Mytilus edulis: one gene and its partner. The protein of the gene in region 2 purifies or fractionates together with the protein of the main gene of each other region. This does not show direct contact. Links are inferred from orthologs where the notes say so. Each region holds a gene or a part of one and is shown on either strand. Other genes may lie near its edges.

What was found.
Region 1: the proteins of chromodomain-helicase-DNA-binding protein Mi-2 homolog (region 2) and metastasis-associated protein MTA3-like fractionate together in Drosophila melanogaster (co-fractionation; 3 studies listed by BioGRID, with this or other methods). This does not show direct contact. The link is inferred for Mytilus edulis from reciprocal best matches to the Drosophila melanogaster genes Mi-2 and MTA1-like.

Annotation. Positions count from the first base shown.
Region 1 is NC_092346.1:39,274,065-39,282,194, reverse strand, and holds the start of metastasis-associated protein MTA3-like, read right to left. Parts: upstream 3,459-8,130; 5' UTR 3,054-3,458; coding exon 3,026-3,053; intron 2,552-3,025; coding exon 2,484-2,551; intron 2,299-2,483; coding exon 2,205-2,298; intron 1-2,204.
Region 2 is NC_092356.1:18,627,923-18,635,894, forward strand, and holds the start of chromodomain-helicase-DNA-binding protein Mi-2 homolog, read right to left. Parts: upstream 3,300-7,972; 5' UTR 3,148-3,299; coding exon 3,087-3,147; intron 1,944-3,086; coding exon 1,854-1,943; intron 1-1,853. UniProt on the Drosophila melanogaster protein: ATP-dependent chromatin-remodeling factor which acts in nucleosome-remodeling by catalyzing ATP-dependent nucleosome mobilization. Involved in regulating transcription. Plays a vital role in development.

The DNA.
Region 1 (8,130 bases), on a different chromosome or scaffold from region 2:
TTTTTGATAAAAAACTTTTTTGTAACTGTTGGAAAAGGTCTAATGAAACTCCTGTAATATCAAATCGTATGTGGGCGTATGCAATATTTTCTTGGAAAAAACTATTTTCCATCATCAAATAGAAGCTGAAACTGCTTGTAAATCATTCTCAAACCCTTCACAGTTGTTAAAATAAGTTTATATCCCACAAAAAACAATTAAGAAACTTGTTTATGTTTAAAGTTTAGAACGGAAGTTTGACAAGCACAGAGAAAAATACGGCGAGAGTCAAAATCTGTACATACAATTGACTAGATATCAATATAATACAACTTTGAAAGTAAAATAGTTCCATCCTGATGTAAATAAGTGTTAAATATATCTATCACATTAGTGTTTGAAGGGTTTTAAGCTAATAAATAACATATTAGTCTGCATGAAACATGAATAAGAAACGTATAATAACTGATTACGTTTTCTAATTTACACACTGTAAGCTGGTTTATGATTGTCTTTCTTACTTTTTTGGTACAGCTTCATTCAAGCAGATACCAGTTTATTTTATAAGCAATGCAATGAAAAGAAATTAGAAATTTGTTATGAAGCATTTAATTTCTAAATTTATATTATTATTCAATATTAATTTGATATTGAATAATAACTTATTAATATGGATTAGATAAAATTATTAGTTCGAAAAATTATAAAGAGTGCGAAATTTGAATTTTTCTCTTATTTCTTGCTTATTGTACTCTTTAGTCCGCACCCCAGCTGGTAGGTTCAATTTTGGAGAATAAACCGCAGACTATACAAGCCTTTTATCGGTAAACCACATCTTCTTTTTTATATTGATCTATAACTTGTTAAGATAAAATAATATCTCAAATATCAAATCAATATCTTCAAAATTGATTTGCTGGACTGATGGAAAGGGACAGAAAAACCAACATGTACAAATGTACAATGTATGTCTAATTTTTTTCAACATTCATTCAATAAATTTTAAAATAAAAAAATGTTGTGTTGTTAGACAAGGAAAAGTTTCAATCCACGGATTTATGCCATGAGACAGGAAACAAGATTTTATATATTTAAGGCCAAGCAAAGTTTTAAATAACAGGACAAATTTAAATTAAAAATAATTGTACTGATACATAATTTAGAGGCTTTCTGAAATTCCACACAAAAACATTGTTATTAAAACCCTGCATCACTTTTGCCATTTTTAGATTTATACGCACTTTTGGTGTTACTTTGTATTTCATTTCTTGATCTTGAAATAAGCTTCTTTTCAAGTTTCATAAAAAATCATCAAAATGATAGTCTTTTTAATCTTATCATTTTAAAATGAAAATTCATGAAAAAAAATCAAGACCAGACTGTCTTTAAATGTCAACTGCAAAATATAAAGTCTAAGACATTCTATGACCATCTTTCAGTAAAATATTGAAAAGTCAAAAAAACAAATTTTTTATCAACAACGAAATTTGAAATTCAAGGTATGAAAAGTTTTGCTATGTATTTTTTACTGTGCTTGTAAAGTTATCTAGGTAAGAAATGGCTTGGCGAAGCAAAAATTAAACCTTGTATGAAACTAACAATTCTTAAAATACAACACATCTTGCTGTTATTAGATATTTAATAATAGGATACAATTACTAACTTTCCCAAATTTTGTTTGTCCTTGTTAGTTGTTTAAAATGTATCGTTATTCTATTTATACAATTAAAGCAATTTAAACAAATCAAGAACAATTACATTTGTGTAGGTCTAATGTCCTACAATGTATGGGTCAGTTTTAAAGCTGACAACAAATACATGTAGTCAACAACACAAGATAAAACTAATTCAAAATAAAATATATTTTCCTCTAATCAATGTAAGAGAAGACTCGCATATATATTTTTATTTGCGAGTAATATGGACCAAAAGTTGATATTATGCCCTGGGAATGGGTGTTGTTTACATTTTGAAAAGGTACAGCCCCATCTCATCAATGAACTAAAGTTAACCAATCACAACTCTCTCATTGCCGGACTATTTTCGTTTGTAGTACAAAATCCACGTGCTAATGTTGTTTTCCTGATGTAAATACTCCCAATTTACACATATGAAACTCTTGAAGTTCTGAAAATATAATGTTATGATGCTGTGTTTCCACAGCAAGCACTGTCAACACACAGAACTTATGTGCAGTCAATTTTCAAAAGTAGAATCAGACTTACTTTGGTGTTTATCGGCAAGCAGGGTAAGTGAACTGGAGATGTCCCTTCTTCGGTAGAAACACATAACTTTTGCTTCGACGTTGCCATTTGGAGTCTGAAAAAATGAAAATAGACATCTGATATCGAAGCCATTTCGATCACCTGAACACGTGACCACCCAGTGTGATAAATTAACACCCCATAGGTACCTCTTTGCCCTTTACCGGCCTCAATTTACATTCTTTTTTATTAAACAGCTAATTTTACGACATAAAAAAGAAAATAAATAAAATGCTGTACCTTGTTTAGTTCCTCTATACGTCGAATTTGGTATGGAGTTGTTGAACTTGTCTCAAAATAGACGTAATCTGTAATAAGAAAATAAAAATTCTTTGTTTAAAATTAATTTGTAGTATAATCCTTCCGCCAAAACATAGTCCATTTTAAAAAGCTTCCTTGAACTTAAGTACCAGTTGAATTCAAATTTAAAGTATTTTTCTAATATAAATAATTGTAATACAAACTGAATATACGAATCTTTCCATTGATTTGTTAGATAAACATTCGTAAATCCATGTTTTAGAAAAGGAGAAAAACTTCTTCCTTCTGTCATTCCGACCGCTTTACTTCCCCCTTGAGATCCCCAAACTGAACTTCCTTTCCACATTACACTTCAAAACATTCACAAAAATGATTGAATATCCATTTTCACTAGTAAACAAACAAATTTCCTAAAAAATGCGGTTTATTTCTCTTTAAATGCATGATTATGGTGACACAATATTCCAACGCGTTGGAAGAGTGGGGACCGTCCATGCTGTTTCCCAATAATTCTTCCGTACCTCCTACTCTGTACATGTTTGCAGCCATGACTGGTAATTATTGTGTTGTTCTCTCAGTTGTGTTCCAAAAGTCCAACAAGCCGACAAAAATACATCAATAAAATATGGGTAGTGTCCGGTCAGTATCACCCCCAGACGACATTTCATGGAGTCGCCATTTCTCGGCTTTTCTGTCTTCCTCCTCTTTTCACACGTGACGTCATTCGTCCTTCGGCGGCTTTGGTTTTCACTCCGAACTATTTTGATGTCTTTCATAGAGATTACATACATATATCTTGTAGGGTATCAAAGTTCATAATTTTTTTCGATGAAAATAATTGGAATATTTGAAATTTACTTTAATTATTGTTATTATCTAAATCCTATTAATTAATTGTTTATCTAAACTTAACTTTTTTTAAATCCTGTATTTTGAATACAATGAAAATCAATCATTAGGCCAAATAAAAAATGATTTGTTATAGCTTGTTTAGTCACGCACAATGATTTACATATGTTTTGTACCACGTAAGCAGGCCAAGTATACGACTGAATCGTATTCATAATTAAAAGGATAGTATAATCATAAACTTCAGTCAGCGTTCAGATCTTACTGTATATTATCCACATTCTTAATACGTCATTAAAATGTCTGTTTGTTTGTTATTTGGTATAAGAGAAAAAAGGGGGATAGACTTTTCACTATTTGCAATTTTATATAATGTGTATTAGGAATGCGGGAACTACAATAATTGTCTTTTTATCATGTGCAATACCTGATTTCTAATTAGATATATCTGAAAGACTATACAGAAAAATAGATAAATTATATAGATAGTTGACAGTCGTACAACGATGTGGTGGGCAGTAGTTACTATTATTTCAGGCTTAATTTGGTAAGATTAAAAAAAAAGATACATGCACATTTGGATATTTGCTAGCATAGTGAAAAAGTAGCCATGACGCTAGTAGTGGGACTTTTTGTTTATATAATGCACCTTTTGATACTCTACATCAGAGACATGTCTCTGTCTACATATATATAAATTGCCATGTCATTTTGAACCGTGCCGATGATTGAAAAAAAACTAGCTTAGAATTTTTAGTCATTGCAAACATTCAATGATTATACATTGTTTTGTATAGATTTTATATATATATATAAAGATGTGGTATGATTGCCAATGAGACAACAGTTTCTGTCCACAACAGACCAAAATGACACAGAAATTAACAACTATAGGTCACCGTACGGCCTTCAACAATGAGCAAAGCCATACTAGAACGCATAGTCAGCTATAAAAGGCCCCGAAATGACAATGTAATACAATTCAAACGAGAAAACTAACGGCCTTGTTTATATATAAAAAAAAAAAAAAATGAACGAAAAACAAATATGTAACACATTAACAAACGACAACCACTGAATTATAGGCTCCTGACTTGGGACAGGCACATACATAAATAGTTTTGGTCGTTTTTTTAAGTTTTTTAAAATAAGTCTTTTTTTTAATCATAATGTTTGGGGTTGTTTTTTTTTCGTTTTTAATGTTTATGTTTGTTTTTGCTTTTGTTTTGTTTTTTATTGTTGTTGTTGTTGGGGTTTTTTTGTAGGGGGTGTATTTTTATCGCAAATGATTGCTTCACTTCTATTGGGAATTCGATACAAATGGCACTGAATATTCAAAACTTACCTATACTATAGAATAGAACAGAATATAGAATAAAAAAAAATGATTTCCCAAATTACAGGGCCGATAATGGGCATTAAATCAGATGCAATTAATTGACATAAAAGGATTACCGAGATTGCCATACATACGAAACGTATATATGAATACGAGTATGACATGCCATGAATCAACCACTTGGACGTCAATGGTGATCTTTTTCAAAGTCTAAAGTAAAACTAGTTACTTGCATGTGTACAAGGCCGTAACTACCCTTGAGGCAAGTGAGGCAATTGCCTCACTAAAATTTCGACACTGATTATTTTTTTTTATACATATATACAAATAAAATAGTCTTTTGTTGTTCTGTCTCAACCTTAATTTCTATAACTTGTCATCATTCCTTTAAACTATTCTTCCTGGATATAACTCAGCATCTCAACGGGTGATGTTTCTCAATTACATTAACCTAGTAACGATAATCATCATGGATCTCTGGTTAAAAACAGGCTCTTGCAGAAAAAGGAAAAGCGACACTGAAGGTAAAGAAGGAATAATTCTAGTAAACTAATTTGTTTGTGAACGTAGTCTGCGTATTGCATATAACTTCATTAGAACAATCCAAAAACGATAAGTAGACTGACAAATCAAGTAGTGGGCATCGCAAGGGGGCAGTCCTGTCTGTGTATTCATTTCTCAGTTTCATCAACTTTAATCTTTCTCTTTACAGATAAATAAAATATAAATAATATGAAACATGCATGGATTAGTTTTTCATGATCCATGTTTCTTTATCCTTAAAAATTGAAAGAACATCCCATATTCCAATTTGACATTATTGAGGAATGGTATAGAACCTTTATCACAGGATTTTGTCTTTACTTATTCGGGACTACGGAATTTCATTTCTTTATATTCGGGGTTTCGGAATCAGACACCCCCAACCCATAACCCCTTAATTTATAGATTCTGGAACTAAAATACCACCGACTATTTCCAGAAATAATTTGAAATTACGGACCTACATGTAAACGTCAAACTCCATTTTAATTCCCCTGTACCCATATCATATATACTTAATACTCTATAGATAGATCATATACATGTATCTTATCTCATTCTATCCCTAGTTTGTTTACTCTTTGTCAGCATACAAGCGAGTTTAATATTTTGTAACTGAGACTGTATGATGATGCTAGCCTTTATAGGAAAGCTTAATTCCCTTTTGCAAACAAAACTGTTACTACCGATGCTGCTACCGAATTGCTGATGGAGAAGGAATTGGAAGAAGACATTGATCATTGTGTTGATGATAATGTGCTACCTTTAGAAACACAGACTGACCTGAAACGACTGAAATCTAGGAAAAGAGCATACATGAGTGGCGAGAGGTTGTGCGGTCTTGCCATGCTCCATGTTCATCGCGATAAGGATATCAGCAGACCAAAGTTATGATTCTAAAACAATTTAATTGACTGAACCCACCATAGAAATAATTGACAAACTCTACTGAATCGATGTTTGTTCTATGTTCTGGCGGCAGATTTAAATTGATATTTGGATGATTATCTTACATACAAATTCAAATAAAGTTGTTAAAAATTTGGTATTAGTAAAAGTCTTTAAATATGAACAATTTATATAAAAACTGTCCAAATTCAAAATATTATCAAACTCTCTAAAAATGCCTAGAACGCAGGATTTTGCACCATTCATTTCATACCCTCCAAAAAAATTTAACGCCTCGCTTCGCTCGGCTCAATTATTTTGCCTCACTAAAATAAGATGCCTAGTTACGGCCTTGGTGTACCTTATTACTAATTCATAAATTTTTTTCGAACATTTATTTTTGCGATTTTGTCATTTAAGACTAAAATGTGACATTCTTCGGAATATTAAAAATCCTGTTTAATTCATATAAAAAAAATCAAAATGCGAGTTAAAATAACAACATAATCTTGTTGATATAAATAAACAGTCTTTACAATAATACAATAGATAAGAAATCTTTCTTCGACTATACCAACATAAAAAAAGGATTGACCGTCCATCCCAATATGGAAGCCCATTGTGAATTAAAAAAAATGAATAGATGTCAGGTATACGTGAATTCTCAAGACAGCAACTATACGATGTCGACTTTGCTCATTGTTAAAGGCAGTACGGTGACCTATAGATATATAGTCGTTAATTTCTGTGTCATTTAGTCTCTTGTGGAGTATTGTCTCGTAGAAAACCATACCGTCCACATCATCTTATTTTTATATTTAACAATATATATGCAGGTGTGTATACAGTTCATCAAAATCTTAATCGCACAGAAACTATAAAAGTTGTCAAAAATTAAACAGCTGTGCCATCAACACCCAATTTTCAATATAACGTAAAACTTAAACCAAGATACAATTGCTGACGAGGTTCCTGACATGATGATGGGTCATGCAGATGTTTATATTGCCAGTTCCTGGATCACTTAATTATTACAGCAAATGGTAGTTTCCAGAGGCGGATTTTGGGAGGGGGCAGAGAGTCTGATCCCCTTTTGTGGGAAACATTTTGTTGATTTATATATAGGGAATCACTGAAGCATGTCTGGAGTGGATCCCCTCTAAGGCAGTCCACGATCAGGCACAATTTTTTTTAATAAGCAGCTAATTCAAAATTGTCCTAGTTCAAGGATTTTAATTCGTAAAAAAATGTAGGGTGGGACTAAGTGAGTGGCTATACATCTTGGCAATCATGTTTTAGTACAGATAAATTAGGGGAACTAAGCTTAATTTTTACGGAATGAGTCACTTTTTCACACTGGTTAAAGAAAGTCGGTGACAATTGCCTCCTCCTTTATATACTACATACATTGTATAGCAACACGGTAAGTAGTCCAATTTATCTCCCCTAAAAATTAGTTGAAATTTTGGTAAAGCAGTACGTTTTTGTTCGAAAACTCTTTGAACCAGAAAATGTATTACAATACGATAATATCTTTTTGCATTCCTTGTTTATAGAAATATATTAAAGAAAGAATGACAGTATTTAGACGTTCAAGTTTGCTTATTGTAGTGAAAATTTGGACCGATCATGTAATGTATGCAGGTGTGTATAAAGTTCATCAAAATCTTAATCGCACATGTTATTAATCTTCTTCTTCTTTTGTTACAGAAAACCATCAAACGGTACTGATGATTACTTTCCGGCGCATGCCTGGTAAATGTTTTTAATAAATTTATGTTGATAATTTTTGTCAAAATATAAATTAACAAAGTATTTCTTATTCAAAGTTGTTTTTGGTCATATATTTTCGTATTTTCAATTTTTACAACTTTTCTTTGTTTTTAGCTCACCTGTCCCGAAGGGACAAGTGAGCTTATGCCATCACTTGGCGTCCGTCGTCGTCCGTCGTCTGTCTGTCGTCGTCTGTCGTCGTAAACTATTTCAAGAATCTTCTCCTCTGAAACT
Region 2 (7,972 bases):
TTAGTGGTTGTCCTTGGTTGTTTTCGTATCTGTCATATTTGGCTTTTTTTTTTAATAATCTCATAAATCAGGTTGTTGGTTTTTTTGTTTAAATTGTTTCACATTTCTTCATGTTTGGTGGGTTTTTTTCAACAGACCATATGTATATATGGTATAGGTTTTGCTAAATGTAGAAGGCTGTACAAAAATATATATTAACTTATCTTAAATCTATTCCATAAGAACACAACAGGTTTTTATGGTTCATAAATTTCACAATCCTAAAATATCTTATTTTTTAAAAATATACACAACGTTAGAACTTAAATATATTAAAATTTCACAAGTTGAAGATTGTAAATATTGTTGATGTACATGCATACATACAAAAGGGTGAAAATATATGGGTAAAATGTTAAACATTCTAACAATAAATAAACAGTAAAAAAAAAAAAAACAAGTACAATGAATAACAGGTCTACAAATAAAATGTTACAAATGAAGTAAAACATGTACATATACATGTAACTAGCCTAATTCTATTGTTCAAAATAAAAAAAACTCAATCAAATTATCATTTCAGGTAAATATTTTTGTAAATTAAAAATTCACACAACACATGTAATACATTAATCAACAGAAAGTACGTACAGGTAAACTTTTTTTTTTCTGTACATAATATAAACATAATGATCTAGCAAGACTACTTGGTCTAGCAAGCCTAGGTGGTCTAGCATTGTCTATGGTGCAAGAAGTGTTGTCAAAGATGTCTCAATAGCTGTACTATAAACATATATTTGTAAGATGGAACAAATAATTTGAAAGTCAAATAAGCAGTTTTTGACATTGTTGAACAGAAGTCCAGAAATGAAATTATAAAAAAAACCTCCAGTGAAGTCTGGTTATATCATATGTCTAGTTTTTTTTTTTATTTATTGACAATCAATGTTCTCCCCAGGGCCTAAAAGCACCATCATGTCTGATGCCATCTTGAAAGATTTTCTAATAGAATGTATACATGTATATAGAGACCATGGTGCTGTATTTTTTGGTAAATCAGTGCTATGTTGATTTCCATGGTGCTTTTTGAAAATTCTGGGGAGAACAATTTTTTGTCAACCAAATGTTCAATAAGAGACTTCCAGCCAGCGTTGTATATTAATGTTCATATGTATTGTACATGTACGAACACAAAACGAAATACTGATAGTTTGCCATCTTAAGTGTTCGAATTGCATTTTCATTTCAAATCATAACACAAGCAAGAGAAATAATAATATCTACCACCATCACAAAACAGTAAACATAACAAAATATTTCCGAGTATATATATAGAAACGTACTGAAATTAAAAATATTAATAAGTTGAATAGATCTAAAACTCCATTTCTATATACTACTACTATTGCAAACAGACAGTGTAGTTTTTTGCCTCCAGCCAAATCAAGGGTAACCCTTAAAAAAAGTTTTCTCTTTGACAACTTCTTCTTAATATGAACAAGTTAAAGAATTATCTTCAGAAAAAAGTATATGTACAGTACAAAAGTTTTATAATGAAAACTATCCATTGAGTTATAAAAAACATATGCATTATTTTTTTTAATTTGAGGTTTCTTATGACTTTAATTATTGGGCATAAGTGCAACAAAAATAAGTTTGTCAGAATGACCAGAGTTTCATAATATACCTAAAATCATAAACCTATATATGACATTTGCATATTAATTTGTACCAACCACTGTAGTGCTAACAATTTATTGTTGTTGCTTCTTTCCCAATGGCAACGAAATTAAAAGATAAGATCATCTAACATGTACTGGGCTCCATCTAACCAAACATGCAAAATCAAGCTGAAGCAGGGAACCATTACTTACAAGTGATGCCCATATGGACCAACTCTGTTGCAGGGGTAAGGGGTGGAGTTGGTGATTTAGACAATGGACAGAGTGCTGAATTCTTGGATTCTGAAATCAACATATAATCCCACTTGTATCTTTTTTTGTTAATTATTACTTTAAAAACTGAGTCATATAATTTAATGTTTAATTTCAGGTTAATTTTTTATTTGGGTTAGATGGGCATTTGAATATTTGTAGCAAACCCAATTTTTTTCCATGAACAAAAATTAATACAGACACATTTTTAAGGATTTGAACTTCAGACTTGATATTTAATCTTTAAGCACAAATAATCTTATATTAATGGGGGATAAACAACTCAAATAACTCATACTATTAATAATAGCAAATGCATAGCTTTAATGCTACCAAATAAACATAAAGTGAATCCCCATATAATCTTTCACCACCTCACTGTATAAATAATTATCATTTTTTTTTCGAAATATTATAAATATTCATTTGATGTGTGCATTACAATCACACTTTTTTTTAATATGCAACAAAAAACTAGAGCCTAAAATTCCACGTAAACTGGATGGTGCCTTGCACAAGCTTGAAGTGAAAATGAAAATAGACATGTGCTGTTCTATTTATAAATCATTCATAGATTGAATGTTCTTCTAAAAAGCTTTCTTCGAACTCTTGTTCCTCCATATTGTTATATTTAATCACTAAAACATATTTACAAGTCAACATCTTTTTGATAATCAATCATGTGTTTTCGTTGTGTATCACAACAAGTGTTGCAAGTTTGACCTCATTAATTAAAATAACTTTGGTCATGCGCAGTGATAAGCCGACACCATTGATATATATCCAGATATTTATCCCGTCGTTTGAAAATTAAAAGAATAACAAAATTCTCCCAAATATCAAAATGAACATTTCACTTCAATTTTCATGAATATCTTTAATACAATCCAAGTTCAAAACGCTTTAAACCTGGGGAATACCCTCAAAATAGGCCGTATTTACCACGAATATGCAAATGAACAAAGGGGGATTCCAGACTCGTGGTTTGGTCATGTTAAAACACTAAAACATGGTATAAAAACAAAATAAATTTGACTGAAGAGTATGTCTATAGCTAAATGGATCATAAATCTATGGTCTGAACTATTCTATAGCTAACTATTTCACATTTCAGTAGGTGAAATCCTATATTGTTATCGATGGCTAATTAAACAATGTCTGATTGGTTTTTACCTTCGCCGGCCTCCTCTTCCATTTCCACGTTTTCTTCGTCGTCAAACTTTCCACCAGGCATGTCACACAAAAATTAAAGTCTTAAATGTCTGATTCCGTGATTTCACCATATATTTTGCGCTGGCATGCGTTTTTTGTATGATTTTTGAATGGTAATTAGGATGCCCTGTCTTTTCCCCCAGCGTCGCGGTTTGGAACTTTAATCGAACATGCGCAGTATGACGTCAATGATTGGTTTATACATCCCATAATTTTCTTGATTTAGTTAATAACTTATCACGTGATTTAATGAGGTGCAAGATCAAAGTACCCCTAGGCATACTTTAATTGTTTCAGAAAAACTTGGGTACCTTATCATGTCCATCAATTTCGATTTTCAAATGATACCTGAGATTTCCATGTTTACACAAAAATTAGACAATTATTAAATGACAAGTTTTTACACATCCATATTTAACAAAATGAATTGCTTGTAGAGCCCCATCATCTTTTTGTTAAGATGACAAAAATCTATTTCTTATCGCTTAATTTTCAAATTAACGACTTATGCACAAAATTAAGTATATATTGCAAATTGACCTATACAGTTTAATAAAAACACATAAATAAAATGTGAAATTAAAAGTATTTCGGCTTTTGCAAATATTTTGTCTGAAATGTTGCAAAATCTCACTTTTGTAATCACATAATTAGGTCACCATGATAATTTTTGTTCCTTTTTAGACAGAGCTTTATCAATATTTATTCCAATTAAATGAGAAAGTAAATGATAAATCATAAAGTGTGTTTCAAATACCATATTTCGTCTCTTGTCACGTTTATAAATTTTGTAAAACCAAAAAAAAATAAATCATAGTTGAATTTTTATTGTATTTGAACCCTTTTTTAATTTTGAAAATACAGTTTGATGACAGATTCTTCAAAGATTTTTCTTACTTGAAGCCAAGTTTACATATTTAGCGCAAATATAGGTAGATTATATACTAGTCGTATTACACATACAAAGAGTTTTATAACCCGAACCGCAGATTGCTATGGTTGTATTTTGTCGTGATAATTTGACAAATTTTAGCATTTTTGGTTCTTATACTTTTTAAATTCATATTTGATTTGGCGGCAGCCCTCAAGTGCACGGTCAACGATTCGTTTTCTATGATCTAGCAATGTCTGGCGTATATTAACAAAAACCTGTTAGAAACTGAACAAATATAAGAAGATGTGGTATGATTGCCAATGAGACAACTATCCACAAGAGACAAGATCATATAGAAGTTAATAACTCGATACGGCTTCAACAATCAGCAAATGCTTAAAGCCTGTTATATATCTTTGATGCGTGTTTTCTAAGATCCTCCCCAATGCTATTGAAATAAACATGCGTGATCAAAAACTATTTTCTACTTTCTATATTACTTCTTTACTGAGTTTCTGCTTAATATAATCTTCAATTACCCCCACCCCCCCCCCCCCCCCCCCCCACACACACACACAAAAACCACCCAAACACACCGTATATACTTTGTTATCACTTTCCGGCCCCGCAGTTTTCTGCATGTTACTATAGTCTTCTAGCTTCATTTCAAACCTTAACTGGTTCAGTCAATTGCCTTTTATTACAAACATAGCAGAGCGTCAAGCAACTTCTATCAATCAATTAACTAACAAAGAGCACCGAGAACTAGATGTTTTCCAAGAATTTATTTACGGGCCGATATAGTTCTTTTTTCCATGTTTGTTCAACTGAATATAAGATCTCTATATATTTTCTTTTCTGTCATGTTTCAACTTGCAGTTACAGTACTTGCTGTATATATGTTCTTTTCATGTTTGATTTCTGGTCAAGTTCAGCTGGTAACAGCAGATGGAACTTGTGTAAAGGTTTTTCTTCTCGTATCTATTTCAGTTTAGAATATAAGTACTGTAAATATTTTTTCTCGTGATTTTGTTTTAACTGACAGATATCTCGATATTCTTATCCGGTTTGTTTCCGCTAAACATATCAGAGCTGTAGAGCTTGATTTGGTTGTAATAGCACAACTCTAAATTTATATTTACATGTAAACTATATATCATTACAAGGCTTGTTTCGAGTGTTTAAAGCAGACAGCTAGATTTCTTCTCAGCTTGTTTCAGTTTGATAGGAAAGTACTGAAGATCTTCGTTGAATGTTTTTTTGTGTTTGTGTTTTTGTTTGTGTTTCTTCAAACAGAACTTTAGCTATTCTTCTTGTTCGGCTTTGTTTCAGCGTGAAGTACTGCAACTTTTTTTTAAATATTTGATTCAGTTTGAAATAGCAGAGCTTAAAGAACATGTTCTCCCCAGATTTTTTTTCGACTGGTAATAACCAGAACTGTATAGATTTTTAACAACAGGTTGTTTCAGCTTTGAATATCGTACTGTAGGCTTATAGATAAAAATCACATGTTTTTGTTTCATTTGCATGCATGGTAATGCTATAACTATATTGATCATCACAAGTTAGGTTAATTGAGAAACTAATTGTCACGAGAATAAAATTGAATTTAATTTAATACAGGACTGCGAAAAACACCTTATATATCTTACCATATCATTAATGCCCCTATACAGATTTTAATATGCACCACCATGCCATATAGCACTGTCCATTGGTGCCTCCTGCAGTTAAGCTGGCTCACAGAATTATTTTCAGAATGATTTTTTTGATAACTTTCTATCTTCTTCTTTCGTGGGTTTGTTTTGTATTGTTTGTTATGTTTGTTTTGTTATGTTTGTTATGATTGTTATGTTTGTTTGTTTGTTTGTTTGTTTGTTTGTTTGTTTGTTTGTTTGTTTTGTTTTGTTTTGTTAGTTTTGTTTGTTTCGTTTGTTAAAGGTAAACAAAAAGGGGGGGGGGGGGGGTAAATTAACATATACGGATATAATTGATATACGGATATACATATGACCCATTGCAAGGGGTCCTGTTTTTCTGCACTGTTGATGATATTGACGTACAACTTTAAAATCCACTTTTGATGACAACATGACATATTTTAACCATAAGATGACGTTTTTCCTACATCTTTTGATTATAAGTACTTGAAACTAGCTTTTCTTTGATGACATTCTTTTTATTGATTCTGTTAAATTTTGCATGGTTTTTATTCTGGTATCTTTTTAGTTTTTTAATTTGTTATCTGAAACATTTGTCTATATACATACTATATCGATTGCATATATTTTTCTTTTTGTATGCATTGCTTATTAAGATACAGGCAGAATAAAGGTAAAAAAAGACTGGACAACTCAATTTTGTGTATCCTCTAGCTTGAACAAAAAAAAATTACTTGTTTTTTATTTATTTCAGAAAACGGAATATATACTGCCGAGCATAGCTTGGCAAAAACTATTTGGACGATTGTTTGTATTCTGTATTCCAGTCACTTAGTGTTGTCATTTTAGCGATATTTTTTAACATTGCCTTATAAACGGGAGGTTTGGCTAGCAATAAAACCAGGTTCAACCCACCATTTTTCTTAAAATGTCTTGAACGCAGATCAGGAATATATGGCATTTGTTATCAAATAGTTCGTTTCGATGTATGTTGACGTTTGTTTTTGTTGCACCTCAGCGTTTCTGTTGTTCCGTTGTTTTCCTCTTGATGTGTTTCCCTCAGTTTAAGTTTGTAACGCGAATTTGTTTTATGTCAATCGATTTATGCCTTTGAACAGCGGTATACTACTATTGCCTTTATTTATGGCTGGAAATTCATATAAATCGTGATAAACATGATATTTTTGTCTTTTTTCTTTTCTTTTGAATGGCAATCAAAGTGGCGCACGCCCTTTTAGTACTCCTAGACCCCCTGACAATTACTGTTAAATATATTATAATTTGGTGTTAATGGTAAGGTTTTTGTTTCACTGTTGGGTTTATCAGCGCCTTCTTTATATTTAGAATATACGTTTCATCGTCTGACTCAACATATGATTTAACCTATCTGATTGACTAATTCTTTGATCTGTGGACAGTTTTTATTGCATATATAACATGACTTCATCTTCTGGCGAGACCCATAGTTAAACCACCAGATTTTTTGAAGTGGCTGTGTTCATGGAAATGATTTGGCCACATGGAATCTTAGATTACCCTTCTCGATTATCTATAAATCCTTGGCTTTTTCTTGTAGGATGTTGACAGTCTAGGATCGAGAACGCGCAATTGTTAAGTAATTTTGGTTTACAGAAGCTACAAACAAGGCTAATCTATGTTTGAATTTGAAGACATACATATACGTAGGAAAAAATAATTAAATTATTTCATGTGATTTTAATTTGAAATCATGATATTAAAAAAAGAAAAGAAAAAAAAAAAACAAAGTGATGACCCGCACAACTGTATCAATGTAGAACTTCTTTTGTGTTTATTTTTTTGCATTGCTATTTTATAGTATCTAGGAGACACCAATTGTTGGCGGCCCCGTAATTGCAAAATAAAATCTTAAGATAAGTTCAACTATCTCACAAAAGAGCAATCATAAACAACAATGTGTAAGGCTTCCGCGGAACCCAGTGTCTCGCCTATACTTTAGGAATCTAAATGTTTTTTAAAACTTGAATCACAGACTGTATGTTATGTTAACTGGCAGAAAAACTCAGTCCATTTATAAGTAAAGTACGATTAAACATGATTTATTTTAGCTCACCTGGCCCACAAGGACCAAATGAGCTTCACTTGGCGTCCGTCGTCCGTCTTCTCTGTCCGTTATAAATTTTTAGAAAAATCTTCTCCTCTGAAACTACTGGGCCAAATTAAACCAAACTTGGCCTAAATCATCCTTATGGTATGTATCTAGTTTTTAAAATGTATCCGATGACCGCGCCCATCAACCAAGATGGCCACAATGGCTAAAAGTAGAACATGAT